2 linked regions of the Xenopus tropicalis genome follow. The protein of the gene in region 1 purifies or fractionates together with the protein of each later gene. This does not show direct contact. Links are inferred from orthologs where the notes say so. Each region holds a gene or a part of one and is shown in the gene's direction. Other genes may lie near its edges.

What was found. Proteins that work in one complex are often made in the same cells at the same time.
Region 2: the proteins of hat1 (region 1) and asf1b purify together in Homo sapiens (affinity purification with mass spectrometry; 6 studies listed by BioGRID and IntAct, counting the BioPlex papers as one, with this or other methods). This does not show direct contact. The link is inferred for Xenopus tropicalis from reciprocal best matches to the Homo sapiens genes HAT1 and ASF1B.

Annotation. Positions count from the first base shown.
Region 1 is NC_030685.2:67,564,036-67,571,629, reverse strand, and holds the end of hat1 (histone acetyltransferase type B catalytic subunit), read left to right. Parts: intron 1-3,717; coding exon 3,718-3,885; 3' UTR 3,886-4,404; downstream 4,405-7,594. UniProt on the Homo sapiens protein: Histone acetyltransferase that plays a role in different biological processes including cell cycle progression, glucose metabolism, histone production or DNA damage repair. Coordinates histone production and acetylation via H4 promoter binding.
Region 2 is NC_030679.2:134,224,599-134,232,663, reverse strand, and holds the start of asf1b (histone chaperone asf1b), read left to right. Parts: upstream 1-2,573; 5' UTR 2,574-2,622; intron 2,623-5,530; 5' UTR 5,531-5,575; coding exon 5,576-5,684; intron 5,685-8,065. UniProt on the Homo sapiens protein: Histone chaperone that facilitates histone deposition and histone exchange and removal during nucleosome assembly and disassembly. Cooperates with chromatin assembly factor 1 (CAF-1) to promote replication-dependent chromatin assembly.

The DNA of each region.
Region 1 (7,594 bases):
AGTAACGAGTTGCAAATCCAGTGTCCAGGAGTTTTCTCAATTTATTTAAGCCAAATAGAGTATGCTTTCCCCACAGTCATTTTATTTGCCACTTCTTGCTATATGAAATCCCGGCAACCAGGCAGTTGCTTGCTTTAGAATATGAATAGGAGAGGGCCTGACTATAAAGATAAGCATATATTATTTATTTATATTGTAAATACATTTATAACAAGCCACATAAAGTTCTCAGATGGCTATAAGCAGTTTATTTATATGCATATAGCAGACTGCTTTGGATCCCGTATAGTCCTGACACTACACATCTGTATGAGCAGGTGAGGATAAATTGGCAACCTTATGCCTCTAGCAGATTAATGTGCTTTTTCCTTACTTTTGCACTTGATTAATGTGCTTCACTGGGACTATGCTGTACAGATGTGGACTTGGTCCCTTGTAGCAGTGTAACTAGTGGGGACGCAAAGAATTCTCAAGCTGCCCAGCTGCCTGGGAATTAGTGTCAATAGCAGGGTCACACTGGGACATCGGGAGAAAACGCACTGGGCCCCACCGACCCCATCCCTGCTGCTTCCCCTTTGCCCTCCCTCCTCCAATTGCGGCAAAGTATAAGGTACAAATGCAGACAGAGGGGCTGGTGGTAGGTGAGTGGGTGGACAGAGGGGGCCCCTGAGGGGTTGTGGGTGCCCCTGGGGTAGCAGCCCTGGTGGGCCTCACACACCTCAGTACTACCCTGGTCAATAGTGCTTCATGTACACAGCTTTCTAAGCAGCCATGTAAGATTTCCAGAGATGAAGATGCAAACACTATGGTGGGAGACATAAGATATATACCCTGCGTAACCAACCCCTCATTAATCTTCTCCGCAAGAAAGGAAAAAGCCCATTAATCAACGAAACAAGTATGGTTACCAGTACATCTATTTAAAAATGGACATAAATTCTTTAAAATATTACAAATGCTATATTTAGCATAATCCTGGAAGCAAATGATTAAGGAGGTTCTCGTTATAGGAAGGTCCACTGAGTTGTGTGAGAGCCCTTACATCTGTTTATTATTTTATCACTGCAGTTCTCCCTGTTCTTTATGCAGGAAGAAGCTTTGTACATTATACAAAGCAGAGCGATCACTCTTATTAGAGCAGACTGTTGAGTAAACATCTTTCTTAGCTTCAAAGGTCACCCCCAAGTGCATAGTACAAAACCAAATAAAAGCATCAGTGTTTGTTAAGGGCCAGCGATCATGTGAACAAAGCCCCACGGGCAATGCCTAGTGCCTTACATTCATCTTCTCAAGAAGGCAAGATCTTTTATGCCTGAACTTTTGTGCTTTTTGATAGGTGCAATCCCTTGTTCTTAGTGTACCATGCACTGCAAGCTTGATTAGTCTCATCATCAAACAAAATGATCTCTTGCTAGTTGATAAAAATACTGACATGGTATAAAAGATATATTATGCTTTGTTGTTTGTTTGGTACATTACAAAAAGTAATCCTCTTACCTGATCTTTTTCCCTAATATGTATTCTCCAGGAAGTAGTGGGTTGAAATAAAAGTCCTTTATTATTTTCCTTTATAAAAACATAGGGATCAAACAGAATAAATACTTTAGATTTAGTAACCTAAGGTGAGATCACACACAGACCATTCCCTTTATAAGGCACAATTCCCCATATGTAATAAAAGGCACTAAGTTTGTAACCCATAGCTACCAATAAGATTTTTGCTTTGAAACAGGTGACCAGTAAATGCTACCTGTTGATTGGTTGGTATAGGTTACTGCACCCAGGGAAACTTAGTGCTTTTTATTACATAACCCCCAATATGTGCATGTGATTAAACTCAACATTACATATAGCAGTACTGCACATCTAGGGCACTTCTTATATGTATTGCACAAATAGTATCCTATTAACACTGAACTGGAGGCAATACCCAGTTACAAACTGCCTTCATTTAGCTAAAAACAACAGCTAATTGGCCTTTGAACTGCTTGTTTTTGGCATAGTTGTCTTGTAGACATGAAAATGTAACAGTCACACTTATTTTTATTTTTCACTCATTTAGAAAAGTGTTATTTTTAACTATCCCACAACAAGTAAATAGTTTCCAGAGATGTTTTCCCTGCCTGCGCAATCAGGAACCCATAGAAAAACAGTCCTGTTCTCCCATACTGTCGTCTGACAAGTGATTAAGTGATGTAATTTTAAGAGGAAACAGCCCCATTTCCTGTCACATCTGTACCGAGTGTATGTATTTAGGGAATGTGTTCTTGGCATTCTTATATTTTACTCAGCATAAGTTTGTGTCTGTGTACTAATGAATATCAGCAGAGGATCTGGGGGGGTAATGGGGTAAATCTTGGTGATATAAGGCACCTTTTGCAAAACAAAGATTTATTTTTTGTAGATTATTGTTGAATAGAACAAAATGTATAACGTTAACTTTTAGTATGTTATAGAGTTGCCAATTCTTAGTAATGTTTCAGTTGGTCTTCATTTTTTATTTAGCATAGTTTTTAAATTATTTGCAACTGCCTTCTGACTCTTCTCAGCTGTCAAATGGTGTCACTGACCCACATCAGCCAAAAACTATTGTTATTGTGACTTTTTATTACTCATTATTCTATTTAGTCCCTCTCCTATTCATATTCCAGTCTCTCATTCAAACCAATGTCTGGTTGCTAGGGTAATTTAGACAAATAGGTGCGGAAATTCCAGACTGGAGAGTTGAACAAGAAGCAAAATAATTTAAAAAACACAAATAATATAAATGAAGACCAATTGCAAATTGTGTTAGAATAGCACTCTCTACAGTATATTAAAAGTTATTTTAAGGGGAAAAACCCCTTTAGGGGGTCATACAGGGGAGTGTTTCTGGGAGAACCACACCCCATTCATTTTTATGGGGTTGTACTGACACAGGCGCATGTAAGAGCCGAACACAGGAGAATGCAACCCCTGTTCCCCTGCTGATCTGGCTGACTACTTTAAGACTCAAATAAAATGTAACAGTAGTCGACTGTCCTCAGCCTGCCTTCAGCCTGCATCCTCCTAATCCCACAATTCCCTGCACACGTGATGTTAATAAGGAAAGGAACATCACAGTGCAATGCATTGTGGGTTATGTAGTTCCTGTATGCTGTGTGTAAGCTGTGTAGAAGTTTTTAAAATTTGTATCATTAATGTTTTAGTCCCTCCTGCCAGGATTTAAAATGATGCAGAAAGATAACAGTTTTGCAGATGGATTTCAGTTTTTTGGGGAGTCACCTTGATTTAAACGCCGCTCACTTGATCGCCCACAGGAAGAGTTCAGTCACCTGCTAGAGATAATACACACCCAAAACCTAACTTGCACTTTTCATAGAATATTCAGACAAAGTCCTCCATAATCCATCTGAAGCAATGAAAAAGGGAGCACAGTAGTAGGCAGGGCTGGGGCAGAACAGGGGTGGCCCTTCAGATCCAGGTTGACATCCCTGTTGCTGATAATCGGATCGAATCATGTTATAATTGGCAAAGGGGTTTTATTTGCGTGCCCACTAGATCCGGTCCTGTATTGGTCCACTATGTTTGCAGCTATCAGACTAAGCAGGCCGATCCCTATTCAGATTTAGGAGGACAGATTAAAAAGTTGACCTCTTTCAAAGAACTGGGGATTTATTTGTGGCTTTGTGTATATTGGTAAATAATTATTTGTACTGTTTAACTTTGTTTACACAGAAAAATCAGAGAGAGATGGCTAAGATGAAACAGTGCCTCCGGCCAGAAGAGCTGACCAACCAGATGAACCAGATCGATCTAAACACGCAGCATGAGCAGTTAGAGGAGAGCTATCAGCAGCTGGTGGAGGAATACAGGCGGATAGTGGAGCGGCTTGCTCAGGCGTAGAGATCACAAGCATGGCCGCTGATCTTTCACACTATAGCCTTCAGCTTTTCTCTGATATTGCCAACAGACTGCAATCTTAGTACAGTTCTCAGTGTACTGTTACAGTCATGGTTCTCTTGGACTCTTTGAACTTCCACCGGGCTGGAATCTTCAGCTGCCTTTTGTTAATGATAGACCTGTTTGCGTTTAGAGCCGACGTGCAGTAAATATTGGAATTGCCCGGCTCTCTCAGCACTTAGTTAACTTTCCAGGGCCATGCAAATGTTACCCAGGGCATGAAAATCTAAGAATCCAAGGCTTAGGAATCAGGGAAATTGATCATTAAAGCCCACCATCACTTTTAACAATTCCTAGCACTGGATTTGCCATCTACAACAGAGGAGGGAAATATTTCAGTATTATGCAGTGCAGGGTACACTGTTGCCAAAGTCCATGTAGCTTGTATCAGCAAAAATATGTACTTATAGTGACACCAAAATATTAAAGCCATCATTAAAATAATGGTTTTTGCATTCAAAACATCTGGAGTGCCGCAGCCTTTATTCTTTCACAAAGCCATGCTGTTTGTTTTCTTTCTGTAATATAGAATTATTGCCTTACCTTGTTGACACATATCTTCAGTTACCAATTCTACTTTTCCTTTAAGTACAACCAAGTGGCCACTAAGTTAATCTCTCAGATACAAACTCCCTTCCAGTTATATTGATTTGCTGTATGCCATTAATGGGCTGGCTCTATGGGCATTTTTACTGGTCCAGATACTTGCCCATGTCATGTGATTTCAGAGGCATACATGATCCCTGCTAAACATAGGGGATTCTTATAATATTTGGAAGGGTGGCAGCAGAATATCGAAGACACATCACTAATATCATGCTGTGCCAAGTTCCTAGTAAAAAGATACCCCATACGGGCGACCCATTAGGAACTGAAACCAGCACTGTGGGTTGTTCGTACAGATTAGAATAAATTTATCAAACTCTTTAAGAGAGTACATACTCTTCTGTACTGAGACATGGTGCAAAGGAAATATGCATCTCTGTTAGTGTGCCTATCAACAAAATAGTTAACATGACCACTCCAAACTCGACAACCCACCTCTAGACCCACACCCATTCTGCCCCATCTCTGGTGTCACAAAAAGGGTGGGGCCGAGCATGTGTGCACCTATAAGTAAGGGCTGTTGAAAGCAGGGGTAATAAGAGTACAGGCAGGGAGGGCAGAAGAAAGAGCTTGGCCTGAACCCACTCACAACCTACAAATCTTGTGTGGATGTTGCAGGTTTTGGGCTGACCCACACATCACTTCCCACCTTAAAACTATACATGGGTTGATATAATTATTTAATCTAGGTATGATCAGTGTCAAAATAATACTCAGTAGTAAGAACTAACAACAGCTCTGCTTTAACAAGCCAGCAAATATTGAAAAATCAGTACCAGAAACCTTAACATGTTTATATGCCGTAACTCAAAACCACTATAACAAGGGAAGATAACATTATTTCGGAAGAGTATCTTCTCTGTTCATTGGAAGCAAAGAGCTTTTCTTATTGTTGAACATAATTCCTGGGATGAAGCAGAGGTTGCCACATTCAGACACTGCTCATTGTATGTTTCTAGAAGGAAAAGGATTTGCACACTCAGTGATAATTACCCTGGCAATTTTCTTTGGTTTCATCATGGATGTACAGTATTAAAGTAATTTACCGCCCCTGAAATGGCCCTGATTCATAATGCATATATTTCTCCTCCTTTGATGGCTTATTGTGTTGAGTAGGTTTCATTATTTTTTTTCTGGGGTTTTTTTGTGATCATACTGGGTTAGAACTGTTGGGTTTTCATAGTGGCACTTAAAAGTTTGAAATAAAAAATATAGTAAAATGGAATGCCATTTGTGTGTGTTTGTTTTTATTCCCTTGTATTGATGGTGGCACGGTTACTGTAAATAATTGTCCTGGTGCCTTAAATAGAAATGGAATATTCAAATGATTCCTTCAGGAGGTCTCTAAACCCAAGTGAATACATTATATTCTCCTCTGGCGGTGCATTTAAATAGCTAAAGGAAGATCTTTGTGTGCAAATGAATAGCCATATTATAGACTACAACAGGGACAGGCAATTATCCACACCCCAGCTGTTATTATCCTTTCTTTATATGGTGCTGATATATTCTGCAGCACTTCACATACATTATACATCATGCGCGTCACTTGTGGAACTACAGTAGGTGTCATAGGCCAGTGCCATTGATTTAGATCACATTTTGGTGCCTCATATTCTATAGGGACCCCTATGTGACCATGCTGATCTCATCTACATCATAATTGGTCATTCTACTATGGGATCCTTGGCTATTTCAGTAAGTAATGGCTGACGAACCAGGAGCAGAAGTAATAAAACTCTGTCTTTCTGGGAGGGAGGGGCATGGAAAAAAAATAGGTTATTTAATATATATATATATATATATATATATAATGTCAAGAATGTCACACAGAGCCTAGTCTTCATATATACTTATGTATATAGTTATCACCATCCATGTGTATGTATATGTATGTATAACTTTATTTATAAAGCGCCACAAGGGTATGCAGCGCTGTACAATCTTACAGAATACAAAATTACACACAGGGAGGACAAGTGATATAATAAATAAATACAATAAATATATATATATATATATGTGGTATGAGACACAGTAGGAAGGAGGTCCCTGCCCCGTAGAGCTTACAATCTAAGTGTCCATATGTATCTACATATGACAACAGAAGCAGGTTGCGGGTGGGTTTGGGCCAAGCTCTTCTGCCTCCAGCAGCATCTTATTTATAGGTGCGTGCCTGCTCTGCCCCCTTTATGATGTCAGATGGGGCAGGGTGGGATCCATGGTTTGTGTTGGGAGTGGGCGGGTAAGGGTCAGGTGCGGGTGGACAAATAGTCAGCAGTGGCCATATACACACTAGTTGTTTGGTCATTGGATCACAGAGAAATCTGGCTGTATATGGTCAGCTTAAAGGACAAAAGCACTATGAAAATATACCTAGCATTAGGGGTAATTCACAGCCATTGGGCCCCAAGATTATAAAACTATATAGGGGTTCATTGGAAGTTGTAGTCTTATAACAACTCTTGTATTCTTCATGCTTACAAAATATAAGAGCTGTATGAAAACATATTTAGCATTTAGGGCAACTCACAGCCAGTGGGCCCCTAGCTTTTATAGAACTACGGGTTGATTAGGTGTTTTAAGCTGGCCATACACGAGCAGATCCGCTCCCTTGGCGATGTCGCCAAGCGAGCGGATCTTCCCCCGATATCCCCACCTACGGCTGGGCGATATCGGGGACCATTTAGGTAAAAAAAATAATAATCCGATCGTTTGGCCCTGGGGCCAGACGATCGGATTATGTGGGCGGCAATGGGGCAGTCGGATCGGGGACCGCATCAACGAGCCGATGCGGTCCCCGATCCGACCAGATTTTCTAACCTGGCCGATCGAGATCTGGCCAATTTCAGGCCAGATATCGGTCAGCCAGGCCGATCTGCTCTCCCCATACACGGGCCGATTAGCTGCCGAATTGGTCCAAGGGACCGATATCGGCAGCTATAGTCGGCCCGTGTATGGCCACCTTAAGTCTTATGGATCCAGAAAATAGCATTGAGAGGGTCGCTGACATTCTGGGCTTCGGTGACCAAATCACTTGAAAATT
Region 2 (8,065 bases), on another chromosome or scaffold:
TCATAGCAAGGGAGTAAATAATTATTAAGACTGGCTAGGATATGGGACAAGAACCCATAGGTTTGCAGCCATCCTCCTTAACCATTAGGCCAGGAGAGCAGCTGGGGAGTTCTTGTATCTCTGATTTAATCTCATCCATATTTATTCTCAAGTTTTCATCATGCTGTTCCATCACAACCCAGCAGCTTTATTGGTCAGAGCCGACTTATTTGAACCCTTCTTTGACCTCACTTTCTTGCCTGAGCATCGACCTCTGACAGCTTGTCCCTAGTTCTTGTTCCCCTTGCTCTTGCCTGTTTCGGTCTTTTAACCCTTTCCATCCTGCTTCTGCCTATCCTGACTTGTCAAATAGCTAGTCCTTGCCTTAAGGGTTCACTGCCCATCACATCCAAAGATATATAAATAAAGCCCTGAGGTTGTACTAGAATTTTACCTTTTCTCTATACCATGTTTCTTCTCCCATTATTAACACACCCCTTCCTAGTCTTTTACCTCATATCCCATTCCCTGAACATTTATCAGTCCAACTGTATCCCTTCTTGCCTTCCTTCTGTAACTTTAACCCTACTCTTACACCTCACTCCACAATCCTTTGTGTCCATCTTCCAACCTCTTTCTATCTGCCATTCTCTTCCCTACCCCACATAAGCTATTATCTGCACCTTTCCTTAACCCCTTTTGTTATTCTCTCCTGTCTTCCCTCTCTTGCTTTTCCCTTTCCATGTCATGCTCCGCAGTGTACATCCTTCCAGGGCCAGTGTCTCAAATATCCACAAGTACAGACTGGCCCATGTTATAAACAGTGCTTCAGAGAAATACCACTTTGTCCAGCTCAGGCTACAATATTCTGAGGGTGTTGGGGGCATAAAATGCCTTAGTCATAGAGGTGGTGCAGACAATAACTTTAGCTTTCCATTCAGCACTACCTAGATGTCACTGCACATCTAACTTCTCCCCTCCCTCCTCCTCACCTAACTGTGTAGCCAGTGCATGGGCATCTGGTCCCCCAGTCAGTCACATAAACAAGATTTTGGGGTGATACAAAGCTTGCCTTCATAACACGGTCCACAAAATGGCGCCTGCCTGCTTGCTTTGATTGAGAAATTCCAAGACGGAAGGAAACAAAATGTATATTATTTATATAGAGTAAGTACAGTTTATTTTGCTCAACTAACAATATAGAAAACAATTTGGACTTATTTCTTAGGGTGACAGGTCCCCTTTAATCCTTGACTAGACATAGCAGAGCCATTTCCCTCTCACACAGCATTAGAAACGATGAATTATGGCGTGAGCGCCTATAAAGGCTGAGGCGGTTACATCCGCCTCTAACAGCCATCTTGCGTTCCTTCTATCATTTTGTTGCACAGCAATTCCCAGAATTCCCTACAGAGGCTGGGGGGGGGGGGGTTAAACAAGCCTGATAGAAATATAAAACTTTATAGCGCAGCCTTTGTTTCTGTATGTATGTATATCTTTATAAAGTGCTACTTATGTACGCAGTGCTGTACAGTAGAATACATTAATACAAACAGGGGGTTATTAAGATAATAGATAAATACACAGTATAACAATAAATACAGATAAATACAAGATACAGTTGCAATAAGATAAGAGTCGAGGACACAAGAGGAAGGAGGTCCCTGCCCCGTAGAGCTTACAATCTATATGGGAGGGGTAACTTACAGACACAAATAGGCAAATGTAAGTGCTGTAGGTCACAGTGGGTGACACTTCAATATAAGTGCCAGTTCCCAGTATAAATACATATACTGCCCACACTGCTGAAGCAAGGTTGCCACCTAAGCAGTAAAAATGATGCTTGATGCCAACCTTATTAATAGGGAATATGCACACAAATAAATGAAAGCCTGTATTTTTTTTATCCAGAAAAAATGCTTAAGGTGTAAATAATGGTTTAGTGCAACAAAACAAATATATGGCAGGAAAATGTTTACCAGTAAGTACCCTACTCGGCCGCCCCTAGTCTGTTTCCGGTTCCGTTACACCCCAGCTTCACAAGTGCGTCATGGTATTTATCAGCGCCCCATTACCTACCCCACGCATTCTTACTTCCCGCGCAATACCTGCCTATCCGGAAGTTGCGTCAGCCTAAGCCGGAAGATAATGCCCGACGCGGGAACGAACGTCAAACGGCGCGGGAAGCAAACACCGTGCTCCAATCAAACGTGAGAGCTACTGACAAGCCCCGACCATGTGACCAAAGCTGGTAGAATCAGCGGCCATCTTTAATGCTGGCAACGACTTCGAACGGCTTTTAGACGTAGGAAGCGAATCCGTTTAATGTACTGGTTTGGTAAGGCAGACTCGGCTGTACGTGGGGGAGAGCCATTATACCCCTGTTTACAGGCTTGCATAGATAGGGGGTGATTATGCGTTTCACACTATCCAGAAGCGTCATTGGTTGTTGCTTGACGGTGAGAGGGAGGGGCTTGCGGCTCAGAGGGGGCGGGGCTGGGGGGCGCGTTTGGAGTGAGGTTGTAAGCGAGGCGCGGGAGACAAAACGGAGGGCGGGAAAGAAGGAGCGGGCTGTTTGTGACGGTTGTGTGGGACGGAGCGGTACAGCCGGGCATACCGGGGAAGGAGGAGACGCCACAACAGGTGAGTGCTGTTTCCTTTCTACTCCGGGCTGTCAGCCCACTCTTACTCCCCCCATGCCCACCTTGCTGGTGAACTACAAGTCTCTGTAGAATATTAACTCGGGGGCCACAGGCTGAACTAATAGTCCCTACCTGTGTGTCCATAATCCCCATTTCCCTGTACGTGTTTACTCACAGGGGCGTGGCTAATGTGTGCCTATAACTTATATAGGAATATACTTGTATAGGGAGCCCTCAGTCTTGCACTTGGCCAACATCCGAAAATAGTTTAATGCTCAACATACAAATTGTATCACTAGTTGGCATAAAGGCTTGCACTTTATTTCTGTTAAGCTTCTGTGTGTCTGTGGCTGCTGGGAGTTGTAGTTCAGCCCTGGGGGCTGCCTGATAGGGGTAACTAACTGATAGGGGTAACTAACTGATAGGGATAACTAACTGATAGGGATAACTAACTGATAGGGATAACTAACTGATAGGGATAACTAACTGATAGGGATAACTAACTGATAGGGATACTTAGTTATGGCTTTGTACAGCTCTGCAGTATGTGTTGGTGCTTATAATAACCTGTTACTATTATTATTGTGAGCCTCCTCCTGTAACCGGTTATTGGATGAAAGTCCTGTCTGAGCCCAGTGTGACACCTATATAGAAATAATTGCTACTTCGGTTAACATTGCTTTCATTGGAATGTGAGTAGCATATTTAGGGGATCCCATTGTTAGTATTGGGGCTCATGTTGGCAGTAGCCAAGTTGGGGCCCGTGGGCCAGATCTAAAGCTGGCCATAGACGCACCAATAACATCGTACGAAACCTGGTTTCGTACGAAATTCAGTGCGTTTATGGCAAGTCGGCGAGTCGACCGGTATCGCAGGAAGCTGCTGATATCTGTCGACTCGCCGACCAGCAACGTCAGAAGATTTTGATCGGGGGCCATAGAAGGCGCCTGACCAAAATCTCCCTTCGGCGCTGAATCAGCAGAAGGAGGTAGAAATCCAATTGTTTCTACCTCCTTACCTGCAGTTTCAGCGCTGAAGGTTAGTGGCGGATCTGACAATCTTTCCTGCGACCGATGGTTGCACAAAAGATCGCAGATCGCCACGTGTGTGGCCACCTTAAAGCTGGCCATACACGTGGCGATCTGACGATGTTTCGTTCAACCATCGGTCGCACGAAACATCGTCAGATCCGCCACACACTATTCAGGGCTGAATCGGCAGGTAAGGAGGTAGAAACAATAGGATTTCTACCTCCTTCTGCCGATTCAGAGCTGAAGGGAGATTTTGGTCAGGCGCCATAAAATTTTCAAACTGGTCCGGTCGGCGAGTCGGCCGATATCAGCAGCTTCCTGCGATATCGGTCGACTCGCCGACATACCATACACGCACTGAATATCATACGAAACGAGGTTTCGTACGATATTATCGGTGCGTGTATGGCCACCTTAAGGGATCTATGTGCCCCCCACGCTCCTCCCAAAGGCCCCATTGGCCCTCAGACATGTGCTATAAGAAGTAACTGTCCCACTGCCTGTAGCGAGTTGAATGTGGCTGGTCATTGGGGTCATTTCACAGTATATCGTACCCACAGGGCTTCCCTTTGTTGCTATAATATGCATACACCAGTAACTCTACCTTGTAATGGGGGGGATCTGAACATGTAATGCATGCTGTAATATGATAACAAGGCTTGAGTAGGAGACATCATAGAATTGTCTGTTAACCTGACAGAACAGTGGGAACAGCACTGCCGGCAGCGCAAACAGACGGCTATTGGGCAGCATTAAAACTTCCCGTGCCATTGCTTCCTACTAGAGAAACGCTCAGTTCAGGAGTTGGCCAAATCCAGGCACCTTTTGCAGGATTCAGCTAAATACTTGGGGGAATATTTATCATGCTGTGTAAAAAGTGAAGTGAAGCATTACCGGTGATGTTGCCCAGGGCAACCAATCAGCAATTAGATTTCAACAGTTAGAAAACCAAAGCAAAACATCTGATTGGCTGCTATGAGCAACATCACTGGTAATGTTTCACTCCACTCTTTACACAGCATGATAAATATACCCCTAGGTGTTCATTCAACCCCTTAGTTGTGTGCCTTTAAAGCTTTGGGCAGCTAAGTGTGACATGTGTTTTTAGTTTATGGAAGGTGACGTGGTTTGAATTTTTCCCATATTTTAAATTCGGTGTTCGTCTAAATGCAGAAATGATTGACTCGATGCATGGCAGGATCTCACTGTAATGTGTCTGCGACTGATTCCAAGGAGTGAAGAGGATATTGAGCGGAATAGAGAGGAGTCCCCTGTTGAGCAAACTGGGAAATCCAGCGACTGATTTGTGGGGTGCACAGCCGAGCTTATTTCTAATTGACTTTCAGATATCAGGATGAATGGGGGGGAATAGAGGCTAAGGAAAGGGTTTGTGCAGTGTAAGGGTGAAGACACACAGAGCTACTAGTTGCAGCAACTTGTCGTGGCTACTAAAATAGACAATGCTGATCATTTACTGATAGTCTGTGTGTTAGCAGAGGCAATTCTCAGTATTGTCTATGTCAGGGGATTTTCTGGAGTTTAGTTGCCATTAAAAATAGCTGCTACTAGTAGCTCAGTGTGTCTTCACCCTTACACACACATAGGCTTCTTGTATTTCTGTTAGAGAAGGGCAAGTACAGAGTATAATAAGTGCCAGAAATGCAATTCAGAATGCAGTTTCTCACAGAAAGACTGCCATACCTTTTCACTTAAAGATATATGCTCTTGAAATGCTTTTCTTTAGGAACTGCTGATTTTCAAACTTATTTCCTATTTGTTTCTAGTAACCTATTTAACCCTTGCAAAAAAATTAATGACCAGATTTTATAGGTCTCTCTCTTCCTGTTTGATTGTAAACACGTGTTACATCTCTTTTAGCCCTAGTGACATAACATCGCTGGCATTTACAGCTTGGGAGGCATCATGGCAAAAGTACAGATTCTCAACATGGTCGTGCTGGATAACCCCTGCCCCTTCCACAACCCTTTCCAATTTGAAATTACTTTTGAATGCATAGAGGACCTGCCAGATGGTGAGTGACTGTTATTCTCATCAAGCATGCCTTTTTAGATGTTCCCAACATGGGAGATTTAAGATGGCCATACATGGTCCTGTTCTAGCTGCCGATATCTGTCCTTTACACTGATTTGGCAGCTTATCTGCCTGTGTATGGGCACGAACAACGGGCCTAACCGACCGACATTGGGCCTGAAATTGGCTAGATCTCGATCGGGCAGGTTTGAGTGGGTGGGTATATATTAAAGGTTGTTGTTCACCTTTAAACTAACTTTTAGTATGACATAGACATTGATATTCTGGGACAATTTGCACAGTGGTTTTTGGTTATTTAGCTGGGTTCACATGCTCTCCAGTTTAGAATTTCAGCAGCTCTCTGTTTGCTAGCAACTTGTTTACCTTAGTAACCAGGCAATGGTTAAATGAGAGACTGGAGTATAAAAAGGAAAGGGGTTCAATAGAAAGCTAAGGAATAAAAAGTAACAAATATATAAGATCAGTTGTGAGCCCTCAGAGCAATAGTTGGCTGCCCCAAGTTCATTGAACCCCATTTGAAAGCTTTTAAGATGTAGAATAGAAAAGCAAAGAATACAAAAGCTATACAAAATAAATGATGATGATGATGAACTGCAAAGTTGCTAGGAATAGGACATTCTGTAACATATTAAAAGTTAAAGTAAAGGTGAACCACCCCTTTATGGGGATTGTAAAAATAATATAATACAATTTTGCCTCATAAAAAAAAAAATATACATCTAAGCAACTTTTTAATAGTTGTAAAAGTAATAGCTATTGAAGGCAGTACCTTGTTCTGACTATTGAAACTCTTGTAAAAGCCAACACCTTCTGCAAAGTGATGTGCAGGCTGGCTCGGACCCACAGGTTCTGGCCGACATTGGCACAGCAGAAGTGGGTTGCAGACGGGTTCAGGGCGAGCTCTTAGACTGCCTTGAGCACGCGCCTGCTCTGACCCCTCTGTGATGTCGGAGATTGGAAAGGCGTGGATCTATAAATATATATGGATCTGTGGATTGGGAGCAGATGTGTTAGGGTTGATGCGAGGGGGGTAGGAGCTGCCTTGAGGTGGGGGGCCCTGGTGGGCCCCTGACACCCCAGTCTGACATTGGTTGAGAATATCAAGAGACACTTGCTGCTTCAATAGCAATTACATTTACAAGTAAGTTGAAAACCGCTGAAAATCTGTCAGATACATTTTGACATGATAGGAGAGTTTGTCACTTGCACCCCCCCTGGCTCTCCAGCGATAGAGTTTGAGGCTCCCTCGGCACCCTCCACTCGACCACCCCTCAACTCAAGGAAAGAAATGAGCGCTGGCAAATAGCAGGACAAGCCCTTGCAAATGTTATTGCGGAAGTGCAACTTTTCAAGGCAAATTGGGTTGAGAAAGGCATTCTTTGTCCTGAAACGTTGCACTTCTACAATAACATTTGCAAGGGCTTGTCCCTTTCCTTGTACAGCTAAATATTAAAACATTGCTCTAAAGCAGGGTTCCCCAACCTTTTTTACCTGTGAGCCACATTCAAATGTAAAAAGAGTTGGAGAGCAACACAAGCATGAAACATCTTCCTGGGGTTACAAATAGGGGCTCTGATTGGCTATTTGGTAGGCCCTGTGTGGACTGGCAGCCTACATGAGGCTCTGTTTGGCAGTACATATGGTATTTATGCAACCAAAACTTGGCCAAAAGCCAGGAATTCAAAAATAAACATCTGCTTTGAGGCCACTGGGAGCAACATCCAAGGGACTGGAGAGCAACATGTTGCTCACGAGCTACTGGTTGGGGATCACTGCTCTCTAAAGGTTTCGACCTAACTGAATCCTGCAAAAATGGCTGTGGTTTTGGTTGACACCTTGAATTCAGTGCATCCCTGTTATGCATTTATATATTTTTGACAATTGTGGTGTCAGAGCTCAAATGGCCAGTATTGAGCCCAGCAGTGAAAATGAGCACAATGAATGAATGAATGAATTACATTTTTATTTCATGTGAAAAACCAATGCTCCTACATAATTAGATGCCATTGTAGTCAGAAAAAAGCTCCCATGTATGTGTGCATGTATAATAATGCAGTACTGGGGCAAGCAGTCAGATAGGGCTCCTAAAGATCAGTTCTCACAGTGCAGTTTGTGGTGGGCAATGTTAAGGTTTCAAGAACATCCCCAGTTTTAATGGTTACACTCTGGGCAGCTTGGTCACTGCAGATGTCACATACAGTATATGATGGTATGCGTGCTGTTTCAGCTTAGGCTATTCTAATTATCAATTACTTTGATGGTTTTTCCAGCTATTGCTTTTAGATAAAAAAAAAAATACATTGCATGTCTTCAATTATTGATAAACTGAAAATATGTTTACGGTTTTTGTCTTTATGCCTA